Linked DNA regions of Nothobranchius furzeri. The main gene of each other region encodes a partner of the protein of the gene in region 2 in a complex. Links are inferred from orthologs where the notes say so. Each region holds a gene or a part of one and is shown on either strand. Other genes may lie near its edges.

Region 1 (4,303 bases), on a different chromosome or scaffold from region 2:
CCCAGTTGCCCATATGGTTAATGGAGGTTTCTTCCTGTTAAAAGGGAGTTTTCCTCTCCACTGTCGCTGCATGCTTGCTTAGTATGAGGATTGCTGTATAGTGACTTGATGCAATGTGCTGGGTTCCTTATATAGGAAACATTATTTCTGATTGGCTTAATGAACTGTCCTGTATTGGAATGTTTATTATGTGAAGTGCCTTGAGACGACTCTTGTCATGATTTGGCGCTATATAAATAAACTTGAATTGAATTAATCCAGCCTTGGGTATGGTACTGGATCTGATGAAGGTACTAATCCTCCATCAGGCCACATTAAAACCAGAAGTGGATTAATGCCAACTTCTGACCCTGTTTACAAGGGATTGAAGGCAGTTGGAGACAATTTTATTTAGAACAGCTTTTAGAGAAGACTCCATAAGTGACACTTTTTATTGTATTAAAGAGCAAGCCACCCCCTAGCAGATTATTCTTCAACTCCCACTTCCTATTTGAAAAATGCAACAAATGCTGTTGCCTAGCAGACCGAGAGGGCGGAGCTGCTAACAAATACAATCACACACAGGCTCAACACAACATTGTGACATCATATGGTACCAGCTAACACCCTAGGGTACCTCTTAGCCAATAGCAATGGCAGATTTAAATTCAAATGCAGTGCAGAGTTTGTACCTGACAACAGCACAACACTGACAGTTTCACGCCGGGGACACACCGGCCGCGGAAGCGCCGAGAAGCGAATCGCTCACGAAATTCGGCCGCTGCTCGCCGCTCCTCAGTTCAGATCAGACGCGCCCTAGTCGAGGCGCGCCTCGGCTCAGCTGTAGTTTTTCTTTTAAACACTTGGTGTCCTCCATTTCCTCTCTGCCTTTTCTCAGCTCTTTTCCTCTACGTTTGAGTGTGTGTGTGTGTGTGTGTGTGTGTGTGAACCTATGGTATGAGTTCTTTCTGCCAGTTGAATCTCTTGGAACCCGCTCCAAGTCTGCAGCTGTATCCTAGCAGTTTCTTCAGAAATGAGCACATAAATAATCATGTTTTTCAGGGGTCGTACAGCTTCTTGTGTTTCTCAACTTCCATAATTAATTTAAAGTCATCCATCTTAACTGCTTGCCTCAGACTTTCTGCCTCTCTGTCCTGTTTGCTCCGGTGAAAAGACACCCAAAACCACTCCCCCCTTCACGTGGTCACACACGCACACAAGTTCGATGTGTGTGCGTGTTCGTGTGGTTTTTCTGCAGTGTCTGATTGCGAACACATTTGACTATTGAGGAATTTTATTTTGAAATGCTTTATTTTGTTAACTTTACCGGCCTGCCTCTTATGTCCAGGTTTGACTTCCTGCCAGAATTGACGCGATTCACCCGCGGCTCGCGAAAAAAATAGAGCCGATGCCGAAATGATCGCTGCACGGCGCGGGCTGGAGCGCCGGCACGAGGCGATTCGCGGCGCTTCGGCGGCCCATGTGGTCTATAGAATAGCTTAACAAGGGCGCCGAATGAAGGCGGTCCCATTTTCGCGGCGCTTCCGCGGCCGGTGTGTCCCCGGCGTTAGCCAGAAAATTAAAAATTTAACTAAAATGCACCAAAATGCTAAACTATTGAGTACACGTGTCTGTAGCACGATTACACACACATTTATATAGTTTATAAGAAAAAATAAGTAGATTTGGGGGTGACTTGCTCTTTAAGAATTTTATTTTACACCAATTTGTGATTATTTTTGAAAAGTGTTATAAACATGCTTTTATCATTTTATGACAACAAAAACTGTTGCATCATATGGGTATTAATTTGAACAGAAAATGACTTACAAGGCATTAATTCATACCAGGTAACCACAGCAGATGTATTGAAAAAAAGAAAAGGGAACGAGGCCTTTAAAGGACATCATTCCCCGTCCTTGTTTGATTTACATTTAGTGGTAAATTCATAGGAGAACTTGACAAATTCCATAATAATGTAATATAAGTCTTATGTCAATGTAAAAGTTTTAAAACAACATTTGCACGAGCTGCTGTGAACTTGTGGTTGGGATGCTTTCATTTTAATTGTGACTAGCTGTTAGCTCCTTGATCCAAACAGAACTAATCTCTGTTTCTCCAAACTGAAGCTTTTTAAAAAGCTACCTCCAACAGCTCAACTGTGGATTTATGCCTGATCACTTACATAAGCCCTTCTAAAGACTTTTGTTTTAGTCAGGAAGGATTTCAACAGTAGCATTCAGTCGTCTGCATTTTGTTGATTTAGTCTTTTTAAAAATACACACACACAGGCTCACAACAGCATTGTGACATCATAATGTACCAGTTTACATCATAGCATACCTCTTAGCCAATAGCGGTGGCAGATTTAAATTAAAATACAGTGCAGAGTTTTTTCCTGACAACGGCACAGCACTGCCAGTTTTAGGCAGAATATTTAAATTTTAACTATCTAACTACTGAAGTGCCAAATTATTTACACGTGTCTGCAGCACGATTAGACCCTCGTTTATTTAGTTTATCAGTAAAAAAAAGTTTATTTGGGGGTGACTTGCTCTTTAAGCACTTTGGCAGTCTGGTTAGCTAGTCTGCAAATCAATAAACATTTTCTCAGAACCCCGCCTTAAACTGTCTGGCTATCACTTTAAACAGGCCTTAGCACTGGAGGATAGCTCGTGACAAAAAGAGGATTTAGTTAGACACGTTCAGCTCTAGTTCTGGACACGTTTTCATCTGAAACCGACAACGAAAACCAACCGACCTGACTCTGAGCCTTTATCACTCCGACTACGCCGTGCTGGTACACGTCGTTGCTGCCTCGGTTGTACTGAGCAACGGCGAAGTTGAGAGCATTTTGGACCCCATCGTCATTAGGGTCTATGTCCTGTGGGCCACCAACGAGGCTACCGAGCCCGACGGCGAAAAGAACCACGAGAGGAAAGCCAATCTTCCACATCTTCGCTCGTTCACCGAAACTACGTATTGAGAAAATAGAGCTACAAGCTTGAACTTCCGGATTCTTCTTTATGTAAACAACAGCAAGAGCGCGAGCTTATCTCTCAGCCAATCAGGAATCACCGAGACACACACAAACCCCGCCTCTGAGGGGTTTCCGCCCCGCAGCCAGTTGAGGTAAAGGCTGCGTTCAGGAACGGATTATCCCGGAGGTTGCTCTCTCCAGACTGGAAGTGAGAACATTCCCTCCGGACACTTAAAACGTGACAAACAAGGTACGTTAAAAACGCGGAGGGGCACGGGGGGCAGATTTCGGCTCGCGCAACTTTTCGAAGTGCTGTGTGCAACCCCCCCCCCCCCCCAACAAATTAACCATTGTCGACCTTTATCCTGTTACAGCACAAAGAAACCTGAGCACGCGCACGTTTTGACCCTTCACAATGCAGAGACTGCAGCTTTTAAAGTAACAAATCCTTGCGGTGTTTTATGTTGATATGAAAAGTAAAAGTTTGATCTCATTATTTGATTTTCTGGACCCCCCCCCCCCCCCCCTGCAGGGACACTTTCTTTGGCCTGGATGTTGTCCAGCAGCAACTCCTTATCGGGTCTGCTGTGGCCTTGGCGGCAGGTGGAATTCTGGCATATGTCATGCAGAGGAGGAACAAAGCCAGATCTATCCCTCTTGGTGAAGGATGGTGGGGAGCAGGAGAGAAGACTCTCTCGGAGGATCACACGATCTACCCCTTTTCAGTGAAAACCTCAGATGAAGAGATTAAGGTGCTTGCAAAATACCAACCCAGTTTCTAACAACAGCAGCTTTAGTGTGAAGGAATCAGCTGTTATCTTGTTGAACAGGACCTCCATCGGCGCATCGACAGCTTCCGCTTCTCAGATCCTTTAGAAGACTGCGGCTTCAATTATGGCTTTAACTCCACTTACCTTAAGAAAGTGGTTTCGTACTGGAGGAATGAGTTTGACTGGAAAAAGCAGGTGGCGATGCTGAACAAGTATTCACACTTTAGAACCAAAATAGAAGGTACACACAGCTCCACGGGGTTCAAACGGGTTAGATTCAATGTTTTCTCTTGTAAAAACTTTTTCTGGTGCTGCAGGACTGGATGTGCACTTCATTCACGTGCGCCAGGCAGTCCGAGGGGACCAGAAGGTTCTGCCACTCATGCTCGTTCACGGCTGGCCCGGCTCTTTCTACGAGTTCTACAAGATTCTGCCCCTCCTCACCCAGAGCCAGGATGGAGTTGCATTTGAGGTCGTAATCCCCTCAATCCCTGGTTATGGCTTCTCAGAAGCCCCTTACAAACAAGGTAATTATGAATAACGTGTGCACACGTCTGCTTCTGCGGACAGCTGA
Region 2 (3,816 bases):
ACATACGTCCACAACAGAGTGCAGCGCATTCGCCAGTCATCAAAGCCAGCACAGTGGCATTATGTGCGCACAGAGGAAAATCCAGCAGACCATGCGTCTAGGTCATTGTCAGCATTCCAACTAAAAAGGTCCACCTGGTTCACCGGCCCACCCTTCATCTACCATCCTGCCAAAGAGATAACACAACTGAGTGGAACGTTTGACCTGATTGAACCAGATAAAGACTCAGAAATTAGACCAGAAGTAAAAACTTATGCCACTCACCTCCAAGCATTCATCTGTAAGCGTTTTTAGCACTTTTCTACCTTTAGATCTTTAGTCAGAGTCATAGCAAATCTCATCCACATTGCAAAGTCCTTCAATGGGACTAATCCAAACAAAAAATGCAAAGGCTGGCACAAATGTCATCTGCCTCAAACCCCAGAGGAGGTCGCTCAAGCAAAGATTGTTGTCTTCAAAGAGACACAGAAGGCATACTTTGAGAAGGAACTTTCTGCCCTTGATGCTGGCAAGCCAATCTCGAAACAGAGTCCCCTCAAGAAGCTCAGCCCATTGTTACAGGACAGTCTCATTTCTGTTGGAGGCCGTCTCAAACATGCGGAAATTGAGAGTGCTGAGAAGAGCCCAGTGATTCTTCCCAAAGGCAGTCACATCTCCCTTCTGATCACTCGCCATTACCACGAGCTCACAAAGCACCAAGGTCGTCATCTGACGGAAGGAGCAATCAGAGCCGCGGGGCTGTGGCTTTTAGGCTGCAAAAAACTAATCAATTCAGTGATCCACAAATGTGTAATCTGTCGCAAACTACGTGGAAAACAAGAACAACAACTCATGGCGGATCTACCACCTGAACGCCTAAAAACCTGTCCTCCTTTCAACTACGTCGGCCTTGACGTGTTCGGACCGTGGTTCATAACAACCAGGCGTACTAGGGGTGGAGTAGCTGAAAGTAAGCGGTGGGCCATCATGTTTAGCTGCATGAGTTCGAGAGCCGTGCATATTGAGGTAATCGAATCTCTGGACACGTCCAGCTGTGTAAATGCCCTCCGCCGCTTCTTCGCTCTAAGAGGCCCCGCCAAACAGCTGCTATCTGACCGTGGCACCAATTTTATTAGCACTTCAAAGGAACTTGAAATGGACAAATCACTCCAACAGTACCTAACTGTCCAAGGCTGCAGTTGGGGGTTTAATCCACCGCATGCATCCCACATGGGAGGTTCTTGGGAGCGCATGATTGGAGTCGCCCGCAGAATCCTGGACTCCATGCTACTACAAAACAAGGTTCAACTGACTCATGGCGTGTTGTGCACACTTATGGCTGATGTTGCAGCCATAATAAATGCAAGGCCGCTCGTCCCAGTGTCCTCTGATCCAGAGAACCCTTTCATCCTATCCCCTTCAATGCTCCTTACGCAAAATCTTGCCTCCCACCCCCACCTGGAGACTTTTCGGATAAAGACCTTTACAACAAACAATGGAGAAGGGTCCAAGCCCTTTCCAATCAGTTCTGGACACGCTGGAGACGAGAGTATCTACCCACATTGCAGCAAAGGCAGAAATGGACTGGGTTGTGCAGAAACCTCCAAGTTGACGACCTGGTTCTGTTAAAGGATAAGCAGGCTGCGCGAAACAACTGGCCCATGGCCAGGGTCTCTGCCACATTCCCAAGCAAGGACAATCGAGTAAGGGAAATTGAAGTGAAGACATGCGATCAAGGGTGCATAAAGACATTTATGTGACCGGTTACAGAAGTTATCCTCCTCATGCCAAAGGACTGAATGCATAATGTTTGTTTAGCATAGTGGCCTCCCGAGGCCAGGCGGGGAGTGTGTTGCCCTTAAGGCTTTCTCTGAATAAATAGGTTCATAAGTTTGAAGTAAATAATTCTAAAAGGATTTGTCATTAAAAACATTGATATGTGTTGTTAAAATGAATAATTCATGCTTTATATGTGTTTTAGTTAAAAAGAAAATATCGCTAAAATGTACTTCCTGTTCTGGCGGTGCACTTCCGGTTTTGGTCAAACACTGTTTTCGCAGAGAAACAGGCGCTTCATGCAGAAGGCAGCGTGGAGATGTAATCAGATGCCATCTTCTCTGAATTATCAGGCTGGAACGCCGTAAGTTGCTTTATATGACAGTTTATACTAATAGCTTTGGATATTAGTGTATATTTTGCTAACATGAATGTTTCAGTGAGAGTAATGCACTTTTTGGATGTAAACATGCTTCTATCTGTTAAGATGGAGTCTATTTTCTGTCATTTCAGTTTTCACCACATGTTCATGAGACAATTAAACAAGCTGCAGCTAAACTCCAGGGTCTTCATTTGTGGTTTAACTCGGTGTCACCAACATTCCTGTTGAAAACACTACAGTTGTTTTGTGTTCATTAGCAAAAATTCATTTGTCATGAAAAAACAAAACAAAAATATTTTATCAACAAAATTAACACTGGCCAGAGGCGCACATTTGTGAACAGTAGGCGTTGCTTCCAGCCGTAATCACGGAAGCAGGGAGAAGGGTTTAAGGTGCGATACGTTTTTCTGCCTCTAGATGGTGCCTCAGAGACAAAACTCTGGATTTATGTTTTTCTAACCTAGAAATCTAGACCAACCACAGCTATAGCAAAAGTTTGCCCTGAGCCTTTTTTATTTTTTACAATGACGACAGAGCTGCAATCCAGCAAAACAACAGCAATGGTGGGAACTCAAGAACAGCACTCATTTGAAATGACTTTAGCATCAAGTTTGGACAGTTTAGACTAGGACTTTTCTTTGATGGTGGTGGACTGCATCACTGGCTGATTTTCATTGGTATGAATGCTTTATGTTGCTCTGATTGGTGCTAACACTGTCCAATAGTATCCAGAGACAGTTTGACAGACAACCGTAGATCCCGCCCCTGCGACTGAGGGTCGTGGCCAGACTATATATTTACATGTATAGGATGGCTCGCAAGGCCAAGTTATCATTAACCCAGCCATGGTTTAGGGATGTCCAAATACTCAGGGTTATTAAATTACCTCACATTCAAGTTGAGTAGGAATGAATAAAACAAATTTGTGTTTAAGGAAAAACATGAAACATTTTCAGATGACAGAATTTCAGCCCCAAAGCAGGATCAGACAACCTGTCAGCGGTTTGCTCACCTTTCCTATATAACTGGAAGCTGGGCTGCGTTGCGTCGATGCCCACCGACACTGGACCAGCTTTGAAGAGCGCCATGGCCAAGGCGTGCTCGCTGCCTTTCGGCACCTCAACGTAGCCTTTGCACTGGGCTGCCATGCCTGATGAATTGTAGCGGCATAGCTGTTCCTACACAACAATACAAGCATAATAAAATTCTACAGTTGAGGGTGGATGGTTAGTGTCACAGTAGGGCTGGGCAATAAATCAAAAATTTTTCGTAATCGAAATTTCCGACTCTTATAGAGATAATTTTCCTCATGTCAATAAATTTGATAATTAAAAAAATGAAAAGATGTGTGTAGGTTGGCAGTGTTCGTATCCCTTTAATACGTGTGACAGCCCCATCTAGTGGACAACTTTTGCTTCTGCGCATGCCTGTAGATATATCATCCATTTATCGTTATCGAGGTGAAATCCTCAATATCTCGTGATATTGATTTTAGGCCATATCACCCAGCCCTATGTCACAACAATGTTTCCTTTTGGCAAATCACATTTGACACCATGTTTTTTTTTAATTAACACTGAAATTTGTTTCTAGCACAAATGTAAACCAAATATTTTTTGTCAAAATAATTGCAATGAATATGAGATAATTTTACCAAATAAAGACACACGGAACAAGTA

Evidence for each region.
Region 1: the proteins of ctsk (region 2) and cst3 are in contact, whole or in part, in a crystal structure (PDB 8V57), measured with the Mus musculus proteins. The link is inferred for Nothobranchius furzeri from reciprocal best matches to the Homo sapiens genes CTSK and CST3. Residues at the interface, in NP_031828.2 of Mus musculus: Asn132, Gln133, Gly134, Gln135, Cys136, Gly137, Cys139, Trp140, Glu173, Asn174, Tyr175, Cys177, Gly178, Gly179, Gly180, Tyr181, Met182, Ser248, Ala251, Ser252, Gln257, Phe258, Val274, Asn275, His276, Ala277, Ser297, Trp298, Ser301, Trp302; in NP_034106.2 of Mus musculus: Pro27, Arg28, Met29, Leu30, Gly31, Ala32, Pro33, Gln75, Leu76, Val77, Ala78, Val80, Asn81, Tyr122, Pro125, Trp126, Lys127, Thr133.

The regions. Positions count from the first base shown.
Region 1 is NC_091752.1:310,511-314,813, forward strand, and holds the start of cst3 (cystatin C (amyloid angiopathy and cerebral hemorrhage)), read right to left. Parts: upstream 2,936-4,303; coding exon 2,741-2,935; intron 1-2,740. Other genes in the region: ephx5 (epoxide hydrolase 1), read left to right, coding at 3,375-3,397, 3,492-3,711, 3,790-3,970, 4,047-4,256. UniProt on the Homo sapiens protein: As an inhibitor of cysteine proteinases, this protein is thought to serve an important physiological role as a local regulator of this enzyme activity.
Region 2 is NC_091745.1:65,976,641-65,980,456, forward strand, and holds part of ctsk (cathepsin K), read right to left. Parts: intron 3,316-3,816; coding exon 3,150-3,315; intron 1-3,149. UniProt on the Homo sapiens protein: Thiol protease involved in osteoclastic bone resorption and may participate partially in the disorder of bone remodeling. Displays potent endoprotease activity against fibrinogen at acid pH. May play an important role in extracellular matrix degradation.